Linked DNA regions of Mus musculus. The protein of the gene in region 1 purifies or fractionates together with the protein of each later gene. This does not show direct contact. Links are inferred from orthologs where the notes say so. Each region holds a gene or a part of one and is shown in the gene's direction. Other genes may lie near its edges. The genes, in order: Vamp5 and Stx12.

Region 1 (3,236 bases):
GCTGAAATCCAGGGTGGACGGATAAGGGTAGGAACCTGGAAGCAAACTGCTCAGAAGGCAGCCCTTTAACCTGAATATCTCATGTCGTTACACACCAAGGAGGCTATTACTCATCCACCACACACAGACATTGTAGGGGATTTTTAGGTCTTTTGTGCCAGAGGAAGGCTGGGTGGGGAACCCTCGCAGCCTTGACCTTGGGCTTGGTGCTCAGGCAGGGAAAGAACTGAAGCAATGCCAGCAGCAGGCGGACGAAGTGACGGAAATCATGCTCAACAATTTCGACAAGGTCCTGGAGCGTCACGGCAAGCTGGCGGAGTTGGAGCAGCGTTCAGACCAGCTCCTGGACATGGTGTGTGACCGATGGGAGCAGGGGGAGGAGAGACAGGAGAAGTTTGACCCTTAGAGGGAGCGCTTAGGCTTTGCTGGGGAGGTGAGGCCCTAGGTGGGCTCCTAGGCTTGCCTGCTTATCAGTGTGCAACTTCCGGGTTTCCTACAAGTCGGTTTCACCAAGATGCCTTTGGGTTGGGGCTGTAGCTCAGCTGATAGAGTGCTTACTTAGCATGCACAGCCCTGGGCTCACACCCCACTGTGGCATGGATCATGAGTGGTAGTATACCTAGGATCCCGGCACTCAGGAGACAGGCCAGAGGCTCAGAAGCTCATTCTCCGGTGCACAGTAAGTCTAAGCTGAGATACATGAGACCCTGTCTTACAAACAATAACACCCAAACAGAAATAAACAAATAAGTCTTTGGAGATGTGTGCATCCCTAGTGGTCACGGCCTGGTATTGCTAAGTGGGTGTGAGCTAGCAGGATGGAGAGTCAAGTGTTATAGCAGTGACTGAGATCAAGAGCCAGGCTAGAATGGTTACAGGGAACAGTGAGTGGAGGAGAGGCAGCAGACAGGATGTGGAGGGTGTAGGAATAGTTCATCCTAGCACGGGAAGGCATGGGAATGGAGAGCTGGCTTTAAGGCCCTGTGGGAACCATTAACACTCTCTCTCTCCTCTCTCTCTCTCCTCCCCCCACCCTCTTCCCTCACTCCCTCCCCATATCTCTTGGTATCTGCAGAGTTCGGCCTTCAGCAAGACAACCAAGACTTTAGCCCAGCAGAAGCGCTGGGAAAATATCCGGTGCCGGGTCTACTTGGGGCTAGCAGTGGCTGTTGGCCTGCTCATCATCCTGATTGTGTTGCTGGTCGTCTTTCTTCCGAGTGGTGGGGACAGTAGTAAACCATAGGCCTAGGATGCAGGTGATGCCTTAGGGACTGGGGACTGACCCAGCCCGGCCTGAAGGGAAGGCTGAATGACTGCACTGGCCTGTTTTGGTCTCCAGAGAATCCTGGTGTTTGCTTCCATCTAGGACACCCAAATGACTGCTGAAGGGCATCCAGGATTATGTGCACCTCTGCATCTCCCATCATGCCATGGACTGGCCCTTGAGAGTGGACTGCTGCACTGGCCCTATTAGGCCACACCACTGGAGCTCAGTAAAAGCTGCTCTTTGGTTAAAAATGCTCTCTCTCTCTCTCTCTCTCTCTCTCTCTCTCTCTCTCACTCACACACACACCACAGACACAAAAGTATATCATATACATACACACACCCTACAGACACCAGACATAGGCATTACACATATACACCCCCCCCACACACACACAGATACACATACACACATATACACTACAGACACAGACCCTGTAGCACAAACATACTATATGACCCCCCCCCAAATTAATGTAATCTCTTAAAAAAAAAAGAAAGAAAAGAAAAGAAAACCTATCACCTCATCCAAAGGACTATATTTCAGGAGACAGCCCCTTCCTCTCCTTTTCCAACTTGATCCTGTCCTACACAGATGGACCTTTAAGGAATGTGGGCCAAGGGCACAGTAGTCCACAAACCAGACCTTTGCACCCATTCCCATGAAAATGAAATCCATCATCTTTGATATCTTGAACATTCTCAGAGGACCAATGGAACTCCAGATAGAAGGATAAAAAGGAAAGGGCTTGCTGGGAGTATAACTCAGTTGACAGAAATGCCTGCCCTGTATGAACAAAGTCCTGGGGTTGATGGTGGTGCATACATCTATAGTTTCAGCACTCAGGAAGTAGAGACAGGAGGAATACAAATTCAAGATCATCCTTGGCTACAGTTAGTTAGGAGCTATTCTGGGCTATATGAGAGACCCTGTCTTAAAAGGAAAAAAAATGGTTGGAGAGCTGGTCCAGAGATTAAGAGCACTGGCTATTCTTCTAGAGGATCCAGGTTCAGTTCCCAGCACCCACATGGCAGCTCACAGCTGTCTTTAACTCTAGTTCCAAAGGATCTGACACCCTCACACAGACACACATGCAGATAAAACATCAACAATCATAAAATAAAAATAAATTCAACAAACAAACAAAAAAAAAAACAAACATGAAGTTAAAAAAAAAAAAAAAAAGGTGTACTGCTCTACAGAGGATCCAAGTCTGCAAGTTCAGTTTCCATCTCTCAAGTCAGGCACTTCATAACTACTGTAAATCCAGCTTCAGGGAGATCATCCTCTGTGGGCACCTGCACTTACTTGTGCACACGCACACACACACACACACACACACACACGCACACACCATTTTATAAAATAAAACATTTAGAAACAACAAAAAACATGACAGAGAGATAATCCCACAAAGTGTTTGCCTTTCGAGCACAAGGCCCGGAGTTACTCCCCAGAACCCATCTTTAAATGCCAGGTGTGTGGTCCAATGTGGTAGCATTAACTTTTGATTCAAGCACTGGCAAAGTAGGGACAGGCAGATCTCTGTTAGATTGAGGCTAACCTGGTCTGCACAATGACCCTTTCTCAAAAACACATAAACAAAAGCCCCTAATGTGGTGGCCTTCTTGTATTTCCAGAATTGGGAAGGTAGAGAGAGGCAGAGTCCTGGGGATCACTAGCCACCAGCCTGGGTGAGCTCTAGTCCAATAAGAGATGTCTCAAAAACAGAAAGTTAGCTGGAAATAAAGACTGTGGAGTTGGGGGTGGGCTGGTATGCTGGTGCATGCCTTGAATCCCAGCACTTTGGAGGCAGAAGCAGGTGGATTTCTCTGAGTTTGAGGCTAGTCTCAGTTACATAGTGAGAAATTGTCTCAGAAAAGAAAAGAAAAGAGAAGAGAAGAGAAGAGAAGAAGAAAGAAAAGGAAAGAAGAAAAAGAAAAAAGAAAAAAAGAAAAAAGAAAAGAAA
Region 2 (4,549 bases), on another chromosome or scaffold:
ACTTCCAACTCAGCAGCCTCTTTCTCCTGAGTTCTTCAAATGATTGGTAAGGCTTCGGTGAGAATGGTTTGTGGTGCTGGTTCATGGTGTAGCTTATACCATATGACCAGTGGCCAAACCCAAGATCTGCCCTAAAGCAGGTATTTGGGGGTTTGCAGTGGCAGTCTGCTTCCACCTGAGTGTCCCTGATCTCTCTGATGGGAGAATATACCTCTTCATCAATTACCTGGTACTTGAGTTTTTCATCCTTGAAAAGGCATAGTTTGGGGCTGGAGAAATGACTCTGCAGTTAAGAACACTGGCTGCTCTTCCAGAGGACACAGGTTCAATTCCCAGCATTCACATGGCAGCTCACAGCTCTCTGTAACTCCAGGTCCAGGGGCTCTGTCACCCTCACAGGTACAGGCAAAAGACCAATGAGCATAAAAATAAATAATTAAAAGAGAAAGCAAAGGAGCAGTTTATGCTGTCTATCTGGAGTTTTACCATAAACATGGCTTATATGTCCACTCCATGGCCCAGCCCTCTAGTGAATATATGTCCTTGTTTCTGGTCTGTCTTGAGATACTGGTGGGTGAATTGCTGGCCGAAGAATGTGAATATCATATTCGAGCCCTGGGGGTCAAGGATGAATTTTTTTCTTAGAATTTTCCCCATAATCTTTTGAATCAGAAACCCTCTTCTTCCCTTTCACAGGATGGGAGTCAGGCAGTCATCTGTTACAGGAGGAGAGGCTCTGATGTAGTAGGAGAGGTTGGAGAAGGGTGCCCAGTTTTCGTAGGTGTGGTGCACATTGTAAGTTGGTGGGCTGTCAATCAAATGCCATCTGGCTGGCAACATATCTCATGACTGAATTCCGCAGGAAGGGAATGGTTTTTATTTGTTTGGAGTGTGAGTGGGTTTTCCGAGACAGGGTTTCTCTATGTAACCTTGGCTGTCCTGGAACTCACCCTGTATACCAGCCTGACCTCAAAGGAAGGAAATGTTAATCAACAATGTCCCAGAATCCCTTGAAGTGGGTAAGCACGGGGCACACCGTATTGGCGGATGGTTTCAGTAGTAACTTTATTCTTGCTAGAAATTTAGGTGTTGAACAGTTTTCACCATCGAATCCTGTCGGGTACAACTGCACGTGTACTGGTCCCATTCCATGCTCATGCATTCACCTCGATTTTGACATGGGTTGGAAAAGCAAGAACTTGCTGGGTGCCTGAACAACAGTGCCGCGCGGAGCAGCAGGATGCGGGAGCGGCAGGATGCGGGAGCAGCAGGATGCGGATGAGCGTGTTGGCGGCCGGAAGGTCGTGGAATGCGGGGCGCGCCGTCTGTAGACGACAGGCTGAAGAAGTCCGGTCCTGTACTGGCTTCACAGCTGGAGGAGTCGGGTCTTGCGAGAACGCTCACCGCCAGCAGTTCGAAAACTCTCAAGAGACGACCCACCGCCAATTCCAGCCGCACACGCGCACTGCAGGATGGGGCGGAGCGCGCGCATGCGCACCGCGATGGGCGGGGGGTCAGTGCGCACGCAGTCGCGGTCCCTTCCCCGCCCTTTCTCTTCCCGGTTTTCCTCTCAGCTGCTGGGCCCGGTCAGTGGCAGCTTCCGGTAGGAGCGCCGCGAAGCGCGACCCGGTCTCTGCTCACTGTCATGTCCTACGGTCCCTTAGACATGTATCGGAACCCCGGGCCGTCGGGGCCTCAGCCCCGGGACTTCAACAGCATCATCCAGACATGCAGTGGCAACATCCAGCGGATCAGCCAAGCCAGTGAGCGAGGGGACCCAGCCGGGAGCTGGGGGCGGCCTGAGGGACAGACGGTGGTGAAGCTGCCAAGTCGGGGAGCCCGGTCTGGGTCGCAGCTCAGGCCACACCTTGAGGCCGTCGCGAGCCTCCACTCTGGGCGCGGCGAGCTGCCTTTCCCTGGGTCGGCCAGGCTCGGGCCCTTTAGGTCCACACCCCTGTCTTAGGCGGTTAGAGTTCACGGTGTTGGGGGTCAACAGAGCCGACAGCCCCGATGGTGGGAGGGAGTGTGTGTCATCTCCAGGACTGTGAGCAGCAGTCTTGACTTGGCGCAGTGGTCAGCCGAGTTTTTCCTGTCGTCGCCGTCCCCCTCTCCCCACCCACCTTGTTTTCCTCAGTTCCGATCAGGGGGTGCTTACTTGGTTGCGACTTTAGGTTCACATTCAGCTCAGCGGTTGGGTCCTCAGACATCAGCAACTTTCAATTAAGGGAAGTGGAGAATGCGTGCGTTCGAGTGACTTAATACACTGTGTTTCCTGTAATTAACCTGGACGTCAGTCAGTGCCTGGCATTTAAGGGACGGGAGGACTGCTGCTTTATGGCACAGAATGCACCGGGAACATTTTAGGTTAGGTTGTCTTTGTAGCGAACGTTTTTCCCATTTCAAGCATGAAGATGTCCTCTTCTGCCTCCGTTGAGAGCTACTCTTGGCCACAATTACACACCAAGTAAGAGATGGCAGGGTTGGGCCAAGTCAGTTTGTAACTGCTTACCTTAAAACTCCCTTCTGTAGCTAGAGTCAAGTACAGGCTGTTTTTGAGTTTCAGAATCATCCCAGAGCCCTGTAAACAGAACAACAGAAGCAATTTTACTTTAAAAATGGTGACAACCATCTGTGTTGTTTATTATTCTGTTTTTTTTTTTTTTTTTTTTTTTTGTGAGCTTAGCTATACTGTTAATAAGTAGAGTCAGTTCTGAATTGCAGTTATGTCCTAAGCTTTAAAGCATAAGCTACCACTGTGCTTTTATTTTCTTTTTGAGACAGTTTTTTTGTAGCTCTGACTATCCTGGAACTCACTCTGTGTACCAGGCTGGCTTCAAAATTAGAGATCCACCTGCCTCTGCCTCCCAAGTGCTGGGATTAACAATGTACGCCACCACACCCAGCTTGTCACTTTGCTTTTATATCTAAATGTATACTGTAGGATTTGAGAGGTAGAAAGTTTCAGGCAGGAAGGGTTAGGCCTGGGTGTATGGAGGTAGTACGAATACTCAGCTTGTTAACCCAGATATGAAAAACACAATAATAATTGATGACTAGACAGTATGGTACTTTGTGTCCCAGTTTCCTTTTGTTAAGGAGCTATAATACAGGATAAATCAGAAAATTCTTTTCAAGGGGCTGGCAAGATGGTTCAGGTAAAGTGCTTGCTGTGCAGGCCTGACCATCTGATTTGAGCCCCAGAACCCAGATGAACGTGGAAGGAGCAAATTAACTCCACAGAGCTGTACTCTGACCTCCACACTCAGCCACACTCGTTCCCTGGCACACACAATGTGTCTGTTTACATTAGTTCTATGTATGTTCCACATATCATACACACAAAAATAATAAAGAAAATTTTGTGCCAGGTGTTGGGGGCGGGGTCATGCCTTCAATTCCAGTACTTGAGAGGCAGAGGCAGGTAGATCTCAGAGTTTGAGAGGCTAGCCAGTTTACAGAGTTTCAGGACAGCCAGGGGCTACACAGAGAAACCTTGTTTTGAACCACCAGAAAGAAGAAAAGAAAGAGAGGAAAGAAAGAAAGAGAATTTGTGGGTTTTTTTTTTTTTTCTCATTGAGACTAACCTAATTTAAATGACTGTATGTGGAATATTTCATATTTGAGTATTAAGTTGTATAGTAAGCATAGGAACTGATACAGATTCTTTTAACTGCAAATCTGTGTTTACTTAAATCAAAATTAGAGTTGAAACTGGCCATAGTCGTACACGATAGCATTTGAGAGGCTGAGGCAGGAGGATTATCATGATTTAGAAGCAAATCTAGACTGCCTAGTGTGTTCAAGGTGATCCAGGGCCACATTGTGAGTCTGTTTTCAAAGGGAAAAAGGGAGAAAGGGAAGGAGGAACAGAGAAGGAGTTTAAAACCAGAGCCTGGGTGTGATGAGTCAGGTCTGTAACCCTAGCTCTCAGGAGGCCAAGGCAAGACAGTCTCCAGGTTCAAAGCCAGCCTGAGCTGTGAGTCTTAAAGCAAAACAACAACAAAAAAGGTGTCGGTGTGGTCTAGGAGCAGTTTCTTTGGTGATAGCTACTGATTTAGCCGTTGATTAGGCATTGGGGTCAAGGGGTTCCTTAGAGTCAATAGTTAATAATGTTACTAGCTACTGTTTAAGTACATCGTGTGCCAGGCCGTATGAAAAGTACTTTACATGTAATATTCTAATCTGTAACAATCCTGTGGAGTAATTACAAACATTCCCAGTCTATGAGCTAGGAAACAGACTGAGAAAGGCTAAAGGGTTGCCTAGCTGAGTGTGTGGGTTTTTTTCTCGCGATAAGATGAACATCTTCCCTGTTAGATTGTTAGCTTGCTTGAGGTAGGAAATACGATTCATTCATCCTTATTTTTCTGTCATTTATCTTAGTCCCAAGCATATGATGAGTTCTTCCGTTCAGCGTGCGACAAGCATTCTTTGAGCACTGATGTTCACTGGTGATGAGCAGAGAACACACTGCTGCCTGGCATTGTGTGGATCTTTGCATGTATTTCCCAATAATATCAAGTAATAGCAGGTGGTACGAAGGAAAGGG

Evidence for each region.
Region 2: the proteins of Vamp5 (region 1) and Stx12 purify together in Homo sapiens (affinity purification with mass spectrometry; 3 studies listed by BioGRID and IntAct, with this or other methods). This does not show direct contact. The link is inferred for Mus musculus from reciprocal best matches to the Homo sapiens genes VAMP5 and STX12.

Annotation. Positions count from the first base shown.
Region 1 is NC_000072.6:72,367,310-72,370,545, reverse strand, and holds the end of Vamp5 (vesicle-associated membrane protein 5), read left to right. Parts: intron 1-214; coding exon 215-352; intron 353-1,075; coding exon 1,076-1,243; 3' UTR 1,244-2,497; downstream 2,498-3,236. UniProt on the Homo sapiens protein: May participate in trafficking events that are associated with myogenesis, such as myoblast fusion and/or GLUT4 trafficking.
Region 2 is NC_000070.6:132,881,462-132,886,010, reverse strand, and holds the start of Stx12 (syntaxin-12), read left to right. Parts: upstream 1-1,552; 5' UTR 1,553-1,645; coding exon 1,646-1,763; intron 1,764-4,549. UniProt on the Homo sapiens protein: SNARE promoting fusion of transport vesicles with target membranes. Together with SNARE STX6, promotes movement of vesicles from endosomes to the cell membrane, and may therefore function in the endocytic recycling pathway.